4 linked regions of the Arabidopsis thaliana genome follow. The protein of the gene in region 1 interacts with the protein of each later gene in a pairwise test. Each region holds a gene or a part of one and is shown in the gene's direction. Other genes may lie near its edges.

What was found.
Region 2: the proteins of AT4G18220 (region 1) and ESL1 interact in a protein complementation assay, tested with the Arabidopsis thaliana proteins (one large-scale study listed by BioGRID).
Region 3: the proteins of AT4G18220 (region 1) and AT1G22570 interact in a protein complementation assay, tested with the Arabidopsis thaliana proteins (one large-scale study listed by BioGRID).
Region 4: the proteins of AT4G18220 (region 1) and GLR1.1 interact in a protein complementation assay, tested with the Arabidopsis thaliana proteins (one large-scale study listed by BioGRID).

What each region holds. Positions count from the first base shown.
Region 1 is NC_003075.7:10,076,639-10,080,868, forward strand, and holds AT4G18220 (Drug/metabolite transporter superfamily protein), read left to right. Parts: upstream 1-1,999; 5' UTR 2,000-2,089; coding exon of another isoform or gene 2,090-2,129; coding exon 2,130-2,160; coding exon of another isoform or gene 2,161-2,206; intron 2,207-2,329; coding exon 2,330-3,471; 3' UTR 3,472-3,724; downstream 3,725-4,230. Other genes in the region: PUP10 (purine permease 10), read left to right, coding at 1-857; AT4G18230 (UDP-N-acetylglucosamine transferase subunit ALG14-like protein), read right to left, coding at 3,883-4,059.
Region 2 is NC_003070.9:2,865,419-2,871,196, forward strand, and holds ESL1 (ERD (early response to dehydration) six-like 1), read left to right. Parts: upstream 1-1,840; 5' UTR 1,841-2,027; coding exon 2,028-2,174; intron 2,175-2,264; coding exon 2,265-2,327; intron 2,328-2,424; coding exon 2,425-2,514; intron 2,515-2,592; coding exon 2,593-2,718; intron 2,719-2,812; coding exon 2,813-2,878; intron 2,879-2,979; coding exon 2,980-3,055; intron 3,056-3,150; coding exon 3,151-3,215; intron 3,216-3,297; coding exon 3,298-3,390; intron 3,391-3,485; coding exon 3,486-3,566; intron 3,567-3,659; coding exon 3,660-3,744; intron 3,745-3,832; coding exon 3,833-3,876; intron 3,877-3,959; coding exon 3,960-4,022; intron 4,023-4,096; coding exon 4,097-4,177; intron 4,178-4,295; coding exon 4,296-4,349; intron 4,350-4,441; coding exon 4,442-4,501; intron 4,502-4,595; coding exon 4,596-4,710; coding exon of another isoform or gene 4,711-4,772; exon of another isoform or gene 4,773-4,812; intron 4,813-4,817; coding exon 4,818-4,942; 3' UTR 4,943-5,238; downstream 5,239-5,778. UniProt on the Arabidopsis thaliana protein: Sugar transporter. Transports monosaccharides across the vacuolar membrane independently from a proton gradient.
Region 3 is NC_003070.9:7,975,888-7,980,747, reverse strand, and holds AT1G22570 (Major facilitator superfamily protein), read left to right. Parts: upstream 1-1,937; 5' UTR 1,938-2,174; coding exon 2,175-2,298; intron 2,299-2,300; exon of another isoform or gene 2,301-2,366; coding exon of another isoform or gene 2,367-2,379; coding exon 2,380-2,597; intron 2,598-2,693; coding exon 2,694-3,253; intron 3,254-3,332; coding exon 3,333-4,128; 3' UTR 4,129-4,324; downstream 4,325-4,860.
Region 4 is NC_003074.8:1,075,310-1,081,047, forward strand, and holds GLR1.1 (glutamate receptor 1.1), read left to right. Parts: upstream 1-1,926; 5' UTR 1,927-2,051; coding exon 2,052-2,307; intron 2,308-2,490; coding exon 2,491-3,698; intron 3,699-3,786; coding exon 3,787-4,099; intron 4,100-4,188; coding exon 4,189-4,523; coding exon of another isoform or gene 4,524-4,612; coding exon 4,613-4,927; 3' UTR 4,928-5,195; downstream 5,196-5,738. Other genes in the region: AGL57 (AGAMOUS-like 57), read left to right, coding at 1-613. UniProt on the Arabidopsis thaliana protein: Glutamate-gated receptor that probably acts as a non-selective cation channel. Can transport sodium, potassium, and calcium ions.

The sequences.
Region 1 (4,230 bases):
GAGATGGAAAAAGAACCTCACCTAGGAACCGTGTATTGGTTTACGTAGTGCTTGGACTTCTTGTAGGAGCAGATTGCTATCTGTACTCCATTGGACTTCTTTACTTACCCGTTTCTACCTATTCCCTGATCTGTGCATCTCAGTTAGCCTTCAATGCTTTCTTCTCTTATTTTCTTAACTCACAAAAACTTACCCCTATCATTTTAAATTCTCTTTTCCTCCTAACTATATCTTCCACCCTACTTGCATTCAATAATGAGGAGACAGACTCCACAAAAGTTACAAAAGGAGAGTATGTCAAAGGTTTCATATGCACCGTTGCTGCGTCTGCTGGTTATGGTCTAGTCTTATCCCTACAACAGCTAGCCTTTCTAAAAGTCCTAAAGAAGCAAAATTTCTCAGAAGTTATGGATATGATAATCTACGTGAGTCTAGTGGCCAGTTGTGTTAGCGTGGTGGGGCTTTTTGCTAGCAGTGAGTGGAAAACTTTGAGCAGTGAAATGGATAACTACAAACATGGGAAGGTATCCTACATTATGAACCTAGTGTGGACAGCTGTTACCTGGCAGGTATTCTCCATCGGTGGCACAGGACTGATCTTCGAGCTCTCCTCTCTATTCTCAAATGCAATAAGCGTTTTGGGACTCCCAGTGGTTCCTATCTTGGCTGTAATCATTTTCCATGACAAAATGAATGGGTTAAAGGTGATTTCTATGATCCTAGCTATTTGGGGTTTCACTTCCTATGTCTACCAACAATATCTTGATGACAAAAACTTGAAGAAAAATCATGAAATCACAACAACAGAATCCCCTGACCCACCAGAAGCAGAAGAGTCAACTTGGCAATCAAAATAAGCTGATATTTTGAAAGATGCTGTCCCGCAGTTTACAGACTCAATCAATCTAGTTAAGTAAACTTACTTTACTTATCGGCCTGGAGGCATCCTACATTGAAGAATACACAATACATTTTTGATGCAACTAATGTAAAGTCTCAGCTTGAAATTTTTTGCATCATTGTAACAGGAAGTAGATTTCATTTAAATAAGTAGTGAATGACTTTGGTTTAGTTTCAATTACGATTACCCAAATTACATTGTAATCTCAGTGAACCAACAATCTTAAGTTTAGAACAGCTGATTACAAAAGTTCATCGTTTAAACTTGGGTTCATAGCAGCTAAAGATTAAATGTAACTCAACCCTGTATGTAACAAGAACCTGTAGGCAGATTGATAAAAGTAGATATTTATTTAATAAAAAACCATGTCAATTTTGTGAGTGTGACACCTGATAAAAATTAACCCTTAGCCATAACTTAAAAAGATTTCAATGCACTATTCCACTTTCTAGTTTTACCTGAAACATTGTGAAACAAGGACACACAGAAAATCATTTCTAATGAAGAAAGAAGAAATATTAATCAGACAGGTCCAAACATCCTTGGTGAAACAGAGCTTTGTACAAAAAGTAAATGACCAGAAATAATACCATTTGGCAGTCTCCATCTTAGCAGTTAATAAAGTGACTTCCTCTGCCATCCAATATTGTGGTGCAAATGTCTTCTTTTGAAAAGAGAAGCGAGACATCATCTCCATAAATGTGTTTCTAATCCACATGCCTGATCTCATAAGAGAAAGATAGTCAGACGGAACAAGCCAAAGAAATTAAAGAAGACGAATAACTTTCAAAATAGACATCCTGACGGTCATACAATCTTACAACTTGTGTGCATGCGTGTTAAGTTTGTGTCTATGCATATGGCTGATGTGTCACACAGGTATAAAATACTGAGTGACTAATGGCTACACATCATTTCCTTCTTGATTTGACTCGACTCATCTCTAGATCAACAATAGTGACAAAAGAAATTAAATTCACAGCAAGAGAAGATATACAGTTGGCATTTACTGAATGTGGGGACAAGTACAATCAAAACATAGACGATGACCGATTCCTAATCTCTAAATATATAGCTACAGCGTGTCTCACCCATATCACAGAAGCAATCACTTGGTAGCACTAGTAACCAAGCAATTTGATAATAAGATACCTAATACTTAGAATCTATTCAGAACATTGTTAGTACCTCCTTGTCCATCTCGAAGGAGGGGGATTCCACATCTACTATGAAGGGGGATCAAGAAGTACAAGTCATTGGTGAGTAAGCATAAACCAGTTCCTCGAGAACCTACTGGTCTTTTATCTTCAAATAAAAGACGAAAAATATGGTTATGGTATCTTATTATTCAATATATCAATATTTTTCATGTGTGACAACAAATAAGTCATAATCTAATTTCTTGCGTTATTTTCCATCACTCACCAGTTCAGCAGGGAAAAGAACCAATTCCAACAGATCAAGACGAAAGAAGTTCGGTCAGTGGCAGCCAAACAAAACTATCTCACTCTAATACATACAAACGGTGGCTCCGGGTTGCTATCTATACATTCTTTGTCATTTCAGGCCAATCAGTTGCTACAATTCTGGGCAGACTATACTATGAAAATGGAGGAAACAGCAAATGGCTAGCAACGGTAGTTCAGCTTGTAGGCTTTCCTATTCTACTTCCATATCATCTCTTGTCAGTCAAAACACATACAACAACTCAGAGAGATGGCAAATTAACCTCACTTAGGAACCGTGCATTAGTTTACATAGTGCTTGGACTTCTTGTAGGAGCAGCTTGCTACCTATATTCCATTGGACTGCTTTACCTACCTGTTTCTACCCTTTCCCTGATCTGTGCATCACAGTTAGCCTTCACCGCTTTCTTCTCTTATTTACTCAACTCACAAAAACTTACTCCTATCATTTTGAATTCTCTTTTCCTCCTCACTATATCTTCCACCCTCCTTGCATTTAATAACGAGGAATCAGATTCCAAAAAAGTTACAAAAGGAGAGTATGTCAAAGGTTTCGTATGCACCGTTGGTGCATCTGCTGGGTTTGGTCTACTCTTATCCCTACAACAGCTAGCCTTTCGTAAAGTTTTAAAGAAGCAAACTTTCTCAGAAGTTATAAATATGATAATCTACATGAGTCTAGTGGCCAGTTGTGTTAGCGTGGTGGGGCTTTTTGCTAGTAGCGAGTGGAAAACTTTGAGCAGTGAAATGGAAAACTACAAACTTGGGAAGGTATCCTATGTCATGAACCTAGTGTGGACAGCTGTTACCTGGCAGGTATTCTCCATCGGTTGCACAGGACTGATCTTCGAGCTTTCCTCCCTATTCTCAAATGCAATAAGCGCTTTGGGACTCCCCGTGGTTCCTATCCTGGCTGTCATCATTTTCCATGACAAAATGAACGGCTTAAAGGTGATTTCTATGATTCTAGCTATTTGGGGTTTCGTATCCTATGTCTACCAACAATATCTTGATGAAACAAACTTGAAGAAAAGTAATGAAATACCAACAACAGAATCCCCTGACCGACCAGAAGCAGAAGGGTCAAGTGAGCAATCAAAATAAGCTGTTACTTCAAAGATTGTGGCACACACAGTTTACAGACTAAAGCGAGCTGATCAAGTAAACTTACTTTTCTTTATTGGTATGAAGGCAGCCTACAATGAAAAATAAACATAATAGATTTGTGATGCGACTCAAGTGAAGTCACAGCCTGAAAATGTGTGCATCATTGTAACATGAAGTATATTTTATTTAAATATATGTTGTGCACGATTCTGGTTTAGTTTGGAATAAGATGACCAAAATCACATTATAAGCTCACTGAAATAGCATTAAGTCATTAACAAAGTCAAAACAGCTGATTACAAAAATTCATTGTTTAAAACTCAATCCTGCATATAAAGAGAAGGTGTACACTATGTAGCTTTCTAAGTTTTTGTAATATATCTAGGTGTAAGTAGAGTTCCAATCAGCTTACATCAGGCACCCAACATAGTGAGCCCGAGGATACTTCTTATGCAGTTGTGGCCATTGAACAAAGAATTGATCAGCTATTCTCAACTTGTAAAGCAACAATCCACTTAATGAGAGCTTTTTCACTCTTGCTACACTCTCAACATAAAAGATTGATGACCATCTAATTCCCAGCACCTGTAACCCAAGATGAAACAAGCACTTATGGGAATTCTAGATGTAATGGAGAAACCATGACTAAGAATAAACAAAACACATCCTCTGTTTTTGGTCACAAGTCCATTCAAGGTCATCCAAAATGTAGAGGAAAGAACTGCAAAGAATCTTGATAAAATATTTCCGAAGTGT
Region 2 (5,778 bases), on another chromosome or scaffold:
TAACGTTGATTACTCTTTGTACTTCCTTGATTTTAGTGAATGTAATGTTGCTCTATCGAGGTGGAGCCTCGTAACATTGGTAAGGCTACAAAAATGAACATCGCTCTCTCTCTTCTTTAAGCATTCCTAAATCGTGTTTTTGTTTTTCTTTTTGGCAGCATCTTTTATTTTGTTTAAACGCCTAAAACTGCCTTTGATCTTTTTTCCTTTTTATTGATAGAATGAGATAGGACAACAAATACCTTTTTTGCCGGGAAAATTCAAAGGTTGTTGATGATTCCTTGTGTCCGCAACTAGAAAGAGAAAAGTCTGTCGTATCAAATTAGATATTGACAAAAATGTCAAAATATATGAAGAAGTGTGAGGGGAAACCGTTGATTGAACGTAAGACATTTGAAAAATGGATATGTAGTAGTTTCTAGATTTGCTTACAAGGAATGTTGAGTTGTATCATTTTCTCTAACGCAATAGCTAACGTGCACGACTTTTTTTTTTTTATGTAAACTTCAAACAAACCACGATCAACGCGTTTACTATTTATTGCATGGAAACTATAGCAAGTGTGACAACTCATATCAATTTGTGATGAATTGATTAACTACGTAGGTAGTATAATATTTGTAAGTTGGTTATTCACGTAAGAAATATTGTATTTTACTCTTATCCAGATTATTTAAGAACTCGTTTTTCAATATAATGTTTGACATTTTATACTCGAGTTAATAAACAAATTAGCTTTACATTGACAAAATTCTGTTGTATATTATTTATAATTAATCTTGACTATGGGTAATTAAATAATATTTTTTTGGAAAAAAATACATTGGATTTTCTCAAATGATCACACTTCTATTAAAACCAAAATAGTACGTATACGCTCTAGACGATTCTAAATAGATGATTAATTTGGCTCGATTCATTAATTCAAAAAATAATAATATTTAGTGTTTTAAATTAGAATTAAAATATTAAATAATTATCGGATATTTCAGTGTTTTAAATTATTGAGGATGATTTTTGTTTAGTAATGACGTCAGATTGTCTAAGGAATAGTTTGGGAAAAAAATCTGAATCAAATATGACTAACAAATGGTTATTGGTTATTGAACTGGACCATAACAAAAAGACACACACACAAAAAAAAAAACTTTTTTTATCTGGTTTGCTCCATGGATAAGAATATAGTAGCTAGGATATCCTGATCTTTAGATAACGGTAGAACATGTGGCATGTGTTTATTGTTTATTTTTATTTTATTTTGAGAACAAAATAGTTACATTGTTTGGTTATATATAAAAAAAAAACAGACCAAAAAGACAAAACCAAAGCTTAAACAAAAAAAGAAAAGAAAAACTTAATTAGACCGGTTAACACTAAACTGGTTTATGTAAAACGGATTCATAAATGTATCTAGACATTCACTTACATAAAATTCATCACAAAATTTCACCCAATTACGGTTTTGATTCGGTATAGGGACCACCTTCAAAATTACCCAATAAATAAAGAGTGGATAACAACTAGCATAAAATAATCAAAGCATCCACTAAGACACAAAACACAATTTCATAAAGATGATGATGAATCACATAACTTTAAATAAATATTCTTTCAAAAAGGCAAAACTTTTAAATAAATATCATTCGCCTGTCGGCCAAGAAAAAAAAAAAGTAAACAAAAATAAATATCATACGTATTGACAACAAAAAATTCATACGCCAGTCCAATTACAAATTACACAATATTTAAAAATTTAAATAAGGAAAACAGAAGAAGATACAATTTCAAATTAAAAAACAAAATACGTGTATATAAAATTGAATAAAACCCCAACAGAAACGTGACACAAAAGAAAAGATTGGGGAAGCTGACCTCTGCCTTTCCTCCTCCATTAATCAAGGAATATAAATCAGCTTTAAACTCAGTCCTCTTATGGAAGACAAAAAAGCAAATATTTATTCGTAAATATAACTTCAGAACCCTTTCAACAAAACTCTCTCTGTTCTTTCTCCGTGGAGAAGTTAAAGATGACGATGTCGGAGAACTCAAGAAACTTGGAAGCTGGTTTGCTACTGAGGAAGAACCAAAACGACATCAACGAATGTCGTATCACTGCTGTTGTACTTTTCAGTACTTTCGTTTCTGTTTGTGGCTCTTTCTGCTTCGGTTGTGCGGTTAGTCATCAAATCACTCATCTTTTTTTTAAAACAATTTCTCTGTTTGTTTTGCTCTGTGATTTGAAAGTTTGGGGTTGGATTTTACAGGCAGGTTATTCATCAGTTGCTCAAACAGGGATCATAAATGATTTAGGTCTCTCTGTTGCACAAGTAAGAAGCAACCCTCTCTCTTTTCTTGAATCTTTACTCAAAAAGTGCTAGTTTTGCTTAAATTACTCTGTTTTTTTGTTTTTGTTTACTACTTCAGTACTCCATGTTTGGTTCAATCATGACTTTTGGAGGAATGATTGGTGCCATCTTCAGCGGGAAAGTTGCAGATCTCATGGGTCGAAAAGGGGTAAATTTCCTGACAATTTGAAATTCATACAAACATATGTTTCAAGATCATGTACTGATGAATTTTTCTCTTAAACAGACTATGTGGTTTGCTCAAATTTTCTGCATCTTCGGTTGGGTTGCAGTAGCATTAGCAAAAGACTCCATGTGGCTTGATATTGGAAGACTATCCACAGGATTTGCAGTTGGTTTATTAAGCTATGTGGTAATAATTCTTTTACTTTCTTTTTTTCCATTTATTTTGTGTATTATATACTTATTTATTTTTACTGACTTTGTGTTAACTCTGTTGCCTTCAGATACCAGTTTACATTGCAGAAATAACACCAAAACATGTTCGAGGAGCGTTTGTATTTGCTAATCAGGTAAACTAAAGAATAATTAGAGAATAAATTCTTATAACCATAAAATAAAAAAGATATATATTATACTAATGTTCTTAAAATTTGTTCAAATGTCGTTACAGCTGATGCAGAGTTGTGGATTGTCTTTATTCTACGTCATTGGAAATTTTGTTCATTGGCGTAACTTGGCCTTAATCGGTAAGCTTCTTCCTAATCCTTTTTTTCTTTCTAGCAGGTTAGTTATGAAATTTTCATCAAGAAGTGATTTAAGTTTATCGGTTTCTGTCTCTCAGGTCTCATTCCATGTGCGTTGCAAGTTGTGACTTTGTTCTTTATTCCAGAGTCCCCTAGACTACTGGTACGTTTAGCCCTTTTTAAGTTTTGATCTTTTTTAAAAAAAGTGTGAAGTAAAACTCAATATGGTTTACAATGGTGTATAGGGAAAATGGGGACATGAAAAAGAATGTAGAGCTTCATTGCAAAGTCTTCGCGGAGATGATGCAGATATCTCTGAAGAAGCCAACACTATCAAAGTATTGCAACTTTTCACACATCTCTCTGTTTTTAAATTGTGTTGTTTTCAATAAAACATGACTAATGAACAAATCATTGGAAATGTCAACTATAGGAAACCATGATCTTGTTTGATGAAGGACCAAAATCGCGGGTTATGGATTTGTTTCAGAGAAGATATGCTCCATCTGTTGTTGTAAGTTTATTCTCAAACGTTTTGTGACAAAAAAAGTTGATTTTCTCTTGTACCGTTATACTTACTCTCTGAAGTTTGTGACATTTTGTTCAGATTGGTGTGGGACTAATGCTTCTACAACAACTCTCTGGAAGCTCAGGACTTATGTACTATGTCGGTAGCGTATTTGATAAAGGAGGTAAATAGATAAACAAACTCTGTTTCGCATGTTACGATAATTTACTGTCTTCATTTGGGAGTAACAAATATTTTCTTACTAATGGCAGGGTTTCCAAGCAGCATTGGCTCAATGATTCTTGCAGTGATCATGGTATGTCTTTGTACGTAGTTTCATTTATTCGTGAAAAATCTTGCCAAGAAGTACACTTATGCTCATGTGTTCTGCTTTTGTAGATACCAAAAGCTCTATTGGGTCTGATTTTGGTTGAGAAAATGGGACGAAGACCACTTCTATTGGTAAGATTTTGCTATCTGATCTTTTGGTCAAATATCAAATGAAGCAACAAAATTTAGCATATATCTTTTAACAGATGAATGATCTTTATTTACAGGCCTCTACCGGTGGAATGTGCTTTTTCAGCTTGCTCCTCAGTTTTTCCTTCTGCTTTCGGGTAATTAACATTAACGATTCGCTTTCTAACCAAAGATATATACAAACTTTTTTTGCTGCTGTTTATTGGAGATTCTTACCAGTTATACTAAAATTTTTCTACTTTTGTTCTTGGACAGTCATATGGCATGCTTGATGAGCTCACTCCGATTTTCACATGTATCGGTGTAGTGGTACGTTTAAAGTCATTTCTTAGACATAATAAACAAGCAACTTAAAGTATAGCTCTTGTATAACTTGATCTGAATTTGACATCATATTACAGGGTTTCATCTCTTCATTTGCCGTAGGCATGGGAGGCTTACCATGGATCATCATGTCTGAGGTAAACAAACATGAACATTAACATTAACTCCTCAAAAACCGACATATATATATTTTTTCCAGCTCTAAAAAATGTTACATTTTTTATTTTGCAGATATTCCCAATGAATGTTAAAGTTTCTGCTGGGACTCTGGTTACCTTAGCCAACTGGTCCTTTGGTTGGATTGTTGCTTTCGCCTACAACTTCATGCTAGAGTGGAACGCATCAGGTATAAATACATACTACTATATAATATACTATAGAGTCATTAAACTCTCAAAAAAAAATTAGATCTTTAATCTGATTTAATTTTTGAAATATATTAATCTGTTTCAGGAACGTTCTTGATCTTCTTTACTATATGTGGTGCGGGTATAGTCTTTATTTATGCGATGGTACCCGAAACTAAAGGAAGAACATTGGAAGATATACAAGCTTCTCTTACAGATTTTCTACAATGAGATCAAGTTTGACTTGTTTAAAGTTATTCATTTTTTCTTAGATTACAATTGGGGGGAGGTTTATAGTTTTTTGTTGTAATTGTTACCTCATTTGATGTGCAATTGAGAAAGAGATCACTTGAACATAAGGTTTAGATATCTCTCTGTCTCAGTAAATTAGCCCAATGTATGTATAGTATAGTCCCAGTTTTACACCCAAAAAAAAGAAATATAAAATTGAACTTTAAGGTATTGGCTTTTTGCTTTCATTGTATATTTAACATTTTTTTTTTTTACTTTTACTAGTTGCTAATGCTATTAATCAATCTACCAGTTCTCTGAAACCTGTAGACCCACAGTTTCTACTTTCGGACTTATTTGTTCTGTATGTGTTCCACATTTCCGGCCTCATTCCTAAAAGTTGAATTGATTTGTGAGATATTTCCTTTTCAAAAATCATTGTTCTTTTTTATATTTTCTCGATAGCATAGGGTTTTCAGATACGGATAGTGATAGGGCAACAAATAAAACTAGGTTAATTCTTATCCTCTCTAAAAGTTAGTAAAGAATAAAGACAATTTATTTCCTTTTAAGGTTCCGAAAATGAGGTTTTCTAATTCTCTCCCTAGACGTAATTAAGCTATCGCTGTGCCAACCAGATTTGTGGTAGGTTACGTGCATCTGTTGATCTATTTGCATACATCATAAAGATCAATCCTTTAATTGTTTAACCACCTTTCTGATATTTCAATTATCTTGACTTTTTTTTTCTTTGTTCGTTAAAACTATTGAATTTTTAGTCATTTAGTAAATATATTGCAAGTGCTATCCATAAAGATGTTCTTTAAATCTGATTG
Region 3 (4,860 bases), on another chromosome or scaffold:
GAACTTAATGATGACGGAAAAAAATACATATGAAACACTCTACATAAACTAGTATTAAAATTCTTTATCTGCATGGTTGTTCCTTAAGATAGTTAGAGATCATTTTTGGGAAGTAAATAAATTTCCACTAAAACTTAAGACATTATTTGAAACACCGGTACACCGGTATAGTGCCTTCTAAAGAACATTCAATGTTCAAGACTTCCAAGTCATAATATTTTTTGTTTGACTTTAAAAGAGAGGAATCCATGTAAATATAATTTATTCGATGTTTGTTTGTATCTTTTCGTGAGCTTAAAGATATTACATATCTCGATCCTTTCAATATTGTTAGGTCATGATGCCATTTATCGATCTTCCGCATGTCACGCCGTTCAGTCTAGGCGTGAGTACCAATCCTAACTCCTAAGGATACGACATCATAGCAACTTAGCAACCATGTATGATAAAATGGTTCACACAAATTATTTAGGCCCGTATTTCGGCCCCTTTTGATTTCGAAATATTTTGGGCCTATAAAAAAGAGAGAATGTTTGAGACTCGAGAGTAGTAAGAAAGGAGAGAACGCAGGTTTTTTTTTTTAAATGAATGATTTCAGAGAACGCAAGTTATACACGTACTACACGTATAACACGTTCCTCAGCAAGACAACAATATTATCTTATCCTCAAGTGGATGCAAATAATATAAAGATTTTAATATTCATTTACTACATCAACCCCCAAGAACAAAAAATGTCTTCAACAAACAAATCTACAATCAACGAAACAAACGTAATCACCAAATATGAATCAATCAGCAGTATGCTGAAAATTGTTGCCAACATAATTTAAGCATGCGACTTTCAAAAACTCGAAAAATTGTCAACAATTTGAGTAATCCGAATTTTTCTGTTTCTATTACACATGAAAAGACAAAGTAACATTCAAAATCCATCTCATCTGCTTGGCGCGATAACATATCTGATAAGACTTTTTTTTGTGTGTCCAAAGCTGATAAGGTTTCCAACTTTATCAGAATCAATCTATATTTGACTATTCAAAACTGAAATACAGGAGATTATTTCTGCTATGAACAAATATTATTTTGACTATTTGACTGATCTATCACAAACATCTTAGCCAAAAAATAAAATTTAGTGACCACAGCTTGAGAAAAAAGGAAACATTCGTGTAGAATGTATTTTGCTGATTTGTGGAGAGTATAGTCTTGTGCTGTGAACAAATACATTCATATTACCCTGCAACTTGCAAGTAAAAAGAAGTTATGAAGTGACAGCTAATCAGGAGATAAGAATAACTCGATCATAAATACGGAACACCGCAACAAGCGGACCAAAGAGCATGCAAGTAGCCACTAGCCAAGTAGGAGAAAGAAAAATATACAACTACATAATAAATATTCCAAATTAAAAACTTATTGATTTAGTCTCAGCATTTATACAAATGTAAAATGTTTATACAAATGTTGTCTATTTTTTTTATTGTTAACGAATTTTCTAATTTTGAAATAATAGTGATCAATTATGTTGCTTTTGTGACTAAAAAGTAAGTGAATTTACAAATAAAATGATACGTCAAAATTATGGTTAGCTAAGCCTAAGTCTAAGAGCTTGAATGATATATGGATTTTTGGTCGATCCAACCCAAAAACATCTAAATATTCTATCAACATTTATACTCAAATAACAATTGTACATCACTAAGTTACATGTTTTTTATAACTTAATTTTAAGAATAAGTCGTGATCAATCAAATTACCCTTGATGTTGACTTTTGATTGAAAAAAATGACAAAAAGAATTTGCTGATACAAAACAAAACATGGCAAATATCTAGCTCGTACGTGTATCACTTGTCCAAAGGAAGTATGCGTATTATTGCGTAATAATACAATAATATCGGAAAGTTATATAAAATAAAAATACAAATAAGATAATGTAATTGCATACTTATTTTTTAACGCGTATAGTACACTCATCTCAAATGCCAATAAATATACAGATACACATAAAAGAAAGACTAGAAAGTTTAGTTACCCAAAATATCATAAATTAATGTAATCGTGTTCACTAGTTGCGCAAGACAAAGAGATCTTTTAGCTTAAAAATCTCATTTAGGCATTTACCCTTTAAAAAGTTTTCACAGAGATTCTCAACCTCTATTGGTGAGAGAAATGAAGATACCAGAGGAAGAAGTTGCACTCTTAGAAGATTACGTTAGCGATTCCGTCGACCACCGTGGATTTCCCGCCGGAAAATCTTCCACCGGCGGATGGAGATCGGCCTGGTTCATTATAGGTAAAACACATCAGAAACAATCCAATTTTTTTTCTTTTTCTAGTTAAACTTCTAAGTCCCAGTCTTAAATGATTTGTTTAGGTGTGGAAGTTGCAGAGAGGTTTGCTTACTTTGGGATTGCCTGCAATTTGATTACTTACCTCACCGGACCTCTCGGACAATCGACGGCGAAAGCTGCCGTGAACGTGAACACGTGGTCGGGAACTGCCTCTATACTTCCTATTTTAGGAGCTTTCGTAGCTGACGCTTATCTTGGTCGTTACCGTACTATTGTCGTAGCTTCCCTCATCTACATATTGGTTAGTACTTTTGTCTTCTTCTAGTTAAACCGGTTTGATCTTTGTATGATTTAAACCGGGATTTTAGCTGAATTTGGAGGATTATTATTATTACAGGGGCTAGGACTATTGACGTTATCAGCTTCTTTAATCATAATGGGATTATCTAAGCAACGTAACGACGCTTCTGCTAAACCATCTATTTGGGTTAATACACTTTTCTTCTGTTCTCTGTATTTGGTGGCGATCGGACAAGGTGGACACAAACCGTGTGTTCAAGCGTTTGGTGCGGACCAGTTTGATGCTGAAGATCCGAAGGAGGTAATAGCGAGAGGGTCGTTTTTCAATTGGTGGTTCTTGAGTTTATCTGCGGGAATAAGCATATCGATTATTGTGGTCGCTTATGTTCAAGAAAATGTTAATTGGGCGTTTGGGTTTGGGATTCCTTGTTTGTTTATGGTTATGGCTCTTGCTATCTTCTTGCTCGGGAGGAAGATATATAGATACCCAAAGGGACATCATGAGGAGGTTAATAGTAGTAACACTTTTGCAAGAATCGGTAGAGTTTTTGTTATTGCGTTCAAGAATCGGAAACTGAGGTTAGAACATTCTAGTTTGGAATTGGATCAAGGTCTATTGGAGGATGGTCAGTCCGAGAAACGTAAAGATCGGCTCAAGTAAGTTCGAATATTTTGTGTTTTGTTTTAGTCTTTTGGCATAATTTTGAGTGTAAATTTCTTTACCTTGTGTGACAAGTTTCCTAGCAAAAGCAATGATCTCAAGAGAAGGTGTTGAGCCATGTAGTGGTAGGGACGTGGATGACGCGAAGGCTTTGGTAAGGCTTATTCCGATATGGATCACATACGTGGTGAGCACGATTCCGTACGCTCAGTACATAACTTTCTTCACGAAGCAAGGGGTCACGGTGGACAGAAGAATCTTACCGGGAGTAGAAATTCCAGCGGCTTCTTTATTGTCATTCGTTGGTGTATCTATTCTCATCTCAGTGCCCCTATATGAGCGTGTATTTCTCCCGATAGCTAGGAAGATTACCAAAAAGCCTTTTGGGATCACAATGCTCCAAAGGATAGGAGCTGGAATGGTGCTTTCAGTCTTCAATATGATGCTCGCTGCATTAGTAGAATCAAAACGGCTAAAAATCGCTAGGGAACACGGGCTAGTGGACAAGCCGGACGTGACCGTTCCAATGTCCATATGGTGGTTCGTCCCTCAGTATTTGCTACTCGGGATGATCGATCTGTTCTCTATGGTGGGAACACAAGAATTCTTCTACGACCAAGTCCCAACGGAGCTAAGGAGCATTGGTCTCTCGCTTTCTCTGAGTGCGATGGGTCTTTCAAGCTTCTTGAGTGGTTTTCTCATCAGTTTGATTGATTGGGCTACGGGAAAAGACGGCTGGTTCAACTCTAACTTGAACCGAGCCCATGTGGATTACTTTTATTGGTTGCTCGCTGCTTTCACGGCCATTGCTTTCTTTGCGTTCTTGTTCATCTCCAAGATGTATGTGTATCGTCGGCTAGACCAAGTCTAAGAATTCAGAGTACTAGTTTTTTTTTTTTTTTGGTAAGAAGAATTCAGAGTATTACAGTAGAAACTCTATAAATTAATAATGGTGAGACCATGAAATTTTATTAATTTATAGTGATATTAATTTATCCTCTAAATTAATAAATATTAATTTATCGTATAAGTTAATAAATATTAATTTATAGAAATATTTACGTAAAGTACAATACTATATTCTTTTAAAAATATTTTTTAATGTAATTTTCTATATGCTTTGTTGTTTGCATATATAATTATGTTAGGTTTTTATTTTAATTTGACTTTTTTAATTTATTTTCGTCAAGATTTGTATCTGTATATCTACGACATTAACGTGAACGTAAACGTAAACATGAAAGTTAATCCAGTTTCTCTTTACACAAATCATAACAATGCTTTCTCAAATAAAAGATTTTACAAAATCAACTATGACGGATCAAATACGCAAATAGTTATGTGAGTACAACAGAGATCATATCAGTTGTATTTTAAAAAGAGTTAGTTTGAACAAAAATTTCATATAAAAATTAGTCTTAAGATATATACTTAAGATCTATGATTATTAATTTATAATATTATTGGGACTATAATTTTACATAGGGATTTTAAAAAAATTATTATCTTATTATTTTATCGATTTTGATTAATTTTTATATTGGCCCAACTTGGGACCGACAAAATTTATTAATTTATCGTGTTTATTAATTTATCGAGTATT
Region 4 (5,738 bases), on another chromosome or scaffold:
GAAGCAAGCAAAGGGAAGAAAAACAAAGGGGAAGCAAAAGATCGAGATGAAGAAGGTGGAGAACTATGGAGATAGGATGATTACGTTCTCAAAACGTAAAACCGGAATTTTTAAGAAAATGAACGAGCTCGTAGCAATGTGTGACGTTGAAGTGGCTTTCTTGATTTTCTCTCAACCCAAGAAGCCCTATACATTCGCACATCCGTCTATGAAGAAAGTGGCTGACCGGTTAAAGAACCCTTCGAGACAAGAACCATTAGAGAGAGACGATACCAGACCCCTCGTCGAAGCTTATAAGAAACGAAGGCTCCACGACCTCGTAAAAAAAATGGAGGCGCTCGAAGAGGAGCTTGCGATGGATCTAGAGAAGTTGAAACTGTTGAAGGAATCGAGAAATGAAAAGAAGTTAGATAAAATGTGGTGGAACTTTCCTTCGGAAGGTTTGAGCGCGAAGGAGCTGCAGCAAAGGTACCAAGCGATGCTCGAGTTACGTGATAACTTATGCGACAATATGGCTCACTTACGATTGGGAAAAGACTGTGGTGGTTCATCTTCTGTTCGTGTGGGACGTCGAGTTTCTGGTGGTGTTCGTCTGTTCGATCGTGAAGCATGATCATACATATTCATACTTGATGATTTAAATTTCTTTGTATTTGAACTGCTGATTTTAATACTGCATGTATCCATTTGACGAAGCTCAATCGTCTCGAGTATATCTCTATTATCTAACAGTATTGAGAAAAAAGGAGTTTCAGTTTTCAAAAGTTGAAAGACTGAGCCAAGTGATGACAAATTCGAGCGTTAGGGTCTTCACAAATTGGATATTTTGCGAAAAATCATGTTAGTTTTTTATTTGATGTATTATTAATAAGAAATGAGGGTTTCCTTTTTTGAAGTAATCAAAAGAATTTTCCATTTTTGCGTCCAATCATGTAAAACTTAACCATTCCTTTTGTTTCCTTTTAAAGATAAAATTCCTTTTAAAAGTAATTTTTCATTTTCTTCAGAAACCTTTCGGTCATAACCTTCTCTTATAAAATAATAATCTCTTCTTACGAATCAAAGGTCTCTTATTCGAAGGGCAATAACATTTGACCATAAAAAAAACCCCATATATATATACAGTGTATATATATATTTTTGCCCCTTTGTGAAGAAAATAAAACAATCAGAGATGAGCCCTAAATTTTCCAACCATGCGACCGTTTATGTGATCCATCGTTGCGCGGGTATATCGAAGATCGTATTATGAGTCTTTTTATGATCGTATTATCCTTTGTGCGAAGTACAACTATTGAACAAGACGAGAAAAAGTTTTCATTGCGCAGGTAAGTCGCGAGGGAGATGTATTCCATAAGTATTCTATAAGCCAAGTCTCCTAATCTCCCTGGTAACGTTATCTCATTCCACATGTACTCTATAAGTATTCGCGAGCGTGTGGTTTCGATAGAGTAATAATTTAATGATTGTAGAAGGAGATGACTGTGGGATCATCCTAGACTAGAGTTTTAATCTCTTGATTTGATTTTTCCTCGACGAGTTGAACTAACCAGCTTGTGATTTTTTTTAGCTTCTCGGGTTGTGGTAGATTTTATTATATATCACTTGGTTGTCCTATCACTTGAACTCGAATATTTACTTCTACGAATTGACTTTGCGAAATAAGCTAATATATCTAGTATTATGGTTTCCCCTGCATATGTATTTTACATTGTATTTAACCTGGATTTTGAAATCAGTTTTAAAAGTAACTGTTGAAAACATAAATTAAATAAAACTTTTTTTAAGGCTCAACTATACTTTAGAAGGAAATAAATGTGTTTCCTAGTCAATTTGTGTCGATGAACAGTACACATTGACTTTGATTGTGTGCGATATCGCGTTAGTTTGATTTAAAATGATTGTGACCATACACTTCAGAAAATCAAAATGCAATTTGACCGGAAAAAAAAAATGGTCCAGTATAATTATTATTCCATGGCACAAGTAGATATGGAAACACCATTGTTTATAACCCAAAGCGAACGTTACAGAGCTATACAAGAAATTATATGGAGATTCTGTTTTCTATTTCCATTCTTGCTCTTCTCTTTTCCGGAGTAGTAGCTGCTCCAAGCGACGATGATGTTTTCGAAGAGGTTAGGGTTGGATTGGTGGTTGACTTGAGTTCTATACAAGGCAAGATTCTGGAAACTTCTTTTAACTTAGCGCTTTCAGATTTCTATGGCATCAACAATGGATACCGAACCAGAGTCTCTGTTTTGGTCAGAGACTCCCAAGGAGACCCGATCATTGCTCTTGCCGCCGGTGAGTTTTCATCTCCCTTATTCAATTATTGCAATTTTTGGTGGGATCCACAACTCCTCTTCATTTAAAGCAGACTGAATCAAATAAAAAAGAATTGACCTAGTCCCGCCGGTTTACTCCGGTTAACATTCTCATGTCTTGCACTAACCGTTTTGCACTGCAATTTGTGTTTGTATGAAACAGCTACTGATCTTCTCAAAAATGCAAAAGCGGAAGCCATTGTTGGTGCACAATCATTACAAGAGGCAAAGCTTTTGGCGACGATTAGCGAAAAAGCTAAAGTTCCGGTCATATCTACTTTCTTGCCAAACACGTTATCTTTGAAGAAATACGATAACTTTATTCAATGGACGCATGATACTACATCAGAGGCTAAGGGAATTACAAGTCTCATACAAGATTTCAGTTGTAAATCGGTTGTGGTTATATACGAGGATGCTGATGATTGGAGTGAGAGTTTGCAAATATTGGTTGAGAATTTTCAAGATAAAGGAATCTATATCGCTCGTTCTGCTTCTTTTGCAGTCTCATCATCAGGAGAAAATCATATGATGAATCAGCTAAGGAAGCTTAAGGTCTCAAGAGCATCGGTTTTTGTGGTGCATATGTCCGAGATTCTTGTTTCTCGTCTCTTCCAATGTGTAGAGAAGTTAGGTTTGATGGAAGAAGCGTTCGCTTGGATCCTCACTGCAAGAACCATGAACTACTTGGAACATTTTGCAATAACTAGGTCGATGCAAGGGGTCATTGGTTTCAAATCTTACATCCCTGTATCTGAAGAAGTTAAGAATTTTACTTCAAGATTGAGGAAACGTATGGGAGATGATACAGAAACAGAGCATTCTAGTGTAATCATCGGTTTACGCGCACACGATATCGCTTGTATTCTAGCAAATGCAGTAGAGAAGTTCAGTGTAAGTGGTAAAGTTGAAGCATCTTCGAATGTATCAGCTGATCTTCTGGATACAATTAGACATAGTAGATTCAAGGGTTTGAGTGGTGACATCCAAATCTCTGACAACAAATTTATCTCAGAGACATTTGAAATCGTGAATATTGGAAGAGAAAAACAGAGAAGGATAGGATTATGGAGTGGTGGTAGTTTTAGCCAAAGAAGACAGATTGTTTGGCCTGGCAGGTCTCGTAAGATCCCAAGACACCGTGTTTTGGCAGAGAAAGGTGAAAAGAAGGTGCTTAGGGTCTTAGTTACCGCAGGAAACAAGGTCCCGCATCTAGTGTCGGTGCGTCCTGATCCTGAAACAGGTGTTAATACTGTCTCTGGATTCTGCGTAGAGGTTTTCAAGACTTGCATTGCTCCTTTTAACTACGAGCTTGAATTCATACCTTACCGTGGAAACAATGACAATCTTGCTTATCTACTTTCTACTCAGGTGTGAAAATGCAAACAGTTTAAAAACATTTTTCTAGTCAAAAATGATTATGTATGTTTCTAATAATGTGTGTTTGCAATTTTGACAGAGAGACAAGTATGATGCAGCAGTTGGTGATATCACCATCACTTCCAACAGATCTTTGTATGTTGATTTTACTTTGCCGTACACTGACATTGGTATTGGAATCTTGACAGTGAAAAAGAAAAGCCAAGGGATGTGGACCTTCTTTGATCCTTTCGAAAAATCCTTGTGGCTAGCAAGTGGAGCTTTCTTTGTCTTAACTGGGATTGTTGTTTGGTTAGTTGAACGGTCCGTTAATCCGGAATTTCAGGGCTCTTGGGGACAACAACTTAGTATGATGCTCTGGTTTGGTTTCTCAACCATTGTATTTGCTCACAGTAAGTGTTTATGTTAGAGTACTACTCTTCATGAAATCCCATCCTTTTGTATATTTTGATCTATAACAAATTACGCACATTCTTGGCAGGAGAGAAGCTACAGAAAATGTCATCAAGATTCTTAGTCATAGTTTGGGTTTTTGTGGTGTTAATATTGACTTCAAGTTACAGCGCAAACTTGACATCAACCAAGACCATTTCTCGCATGCAATTAAATCATCAGATGGTTTTCGGGGGATCTACGACGTCAATGACTGCGAAGCTCGGATCCATTAATGCAGTTGAGGCCTATGCACAACTTTTGCGAGATGGAACTCTTAATCATGTCATCAATGAAATACCTTATCTCAGTATCCTTATCGGAAATTATCCGAATGATTTCGTAATGACAGATAGAGTGACTAATACCAATGGCTTTGGCTTTGTATGTACCCTTCTCCTCAAACCTCTCATTTTCTCTCCATTATTTGGTTACTTATTCTTGTTACGTACTAATTTATGTTTACCTCTCAGATGTTCCAGAAAGGTTCGGATTTGGTTCCTAAAGTATCGCGAGAAATCGCGAAGCTAAGATCATTGGGAATGTTGAAAGACATGGAGAAAAAATGGTTTCAAAAACTGGATTCACTAAATGTACATTCCAACACCGAGGAAGTTGCATCTACCAACGACGATGATGAGGCATCTAAGCGATTCACCTTCCGTGAGTTGCGCGGTTTGTTCATCATTGCGGGAGCTGCTCATGTTCTCGTACTAGCCCTACATCTCTTTCATACGCGTCAAGAGGTATCACGACTATGCACCAAACTTCAAAGCTTCTATAAGTAAAAAGTGATCCATCGTTCATAAGCTCTACTATAGCAATTGACGGGACAGGACTCATAAGTAACAACAAAGTACACTTCGAAACAAATTTCACATGTAATACTTGTTTTTTTTTCCCGTTTAAATTCACATGTAATAATTTAATTCACGTAAATACTAAAGTGATTCACCCATCACGAAGTATTTTTTGAATTAAATACATCAACTAATCGAGTTTTTGATAGGGACTTTTGCTTTTTTGAATATTGCTTATCAAATCAAAATTTTCAAATTCTTGTCCATATACGCCTATCAAATATCTTCTTTTAAAGAAAGTCTCCTAAAGAGTTGAAAACTTGAAATATATACTTTTCTAAAATATAATTTTATTTGGGCGTTACGTTCTAGAAAATGGAACCCGTCTACTAAAATGGGCCGCTCGTGAACTCGTGGCAGTCAAACACTGGTCGGCGCATAAAAGCATATCCAAATACGCTGCGTTTCATGCTTACCCGACCCGTCTTAAATATTTAAAGAATATTCCAGATTAGCGCGTGAGATGCAGTTGCCATGTCTCGCCTCAGGAATGACGACATTTGCCAAAATAACAGAGCTACAACGGTAAATAAGGAAAATGATTAAGGGCAATTTGGTCTTTTAGGTTAAGAAAAGTATTGAATCAGATCTGACTTTTTGGCCAAGAAAAACTCTCAGCCACTAGATCATTCCGACCCCTCCTCCACGTTCTTCTCTCTTTTAAATAACCTCTTCACGGAACCCTTCTCACTCACCTATCTCACTCTAAAATCTCTCTCTGCCAATCTCATCTTCAACC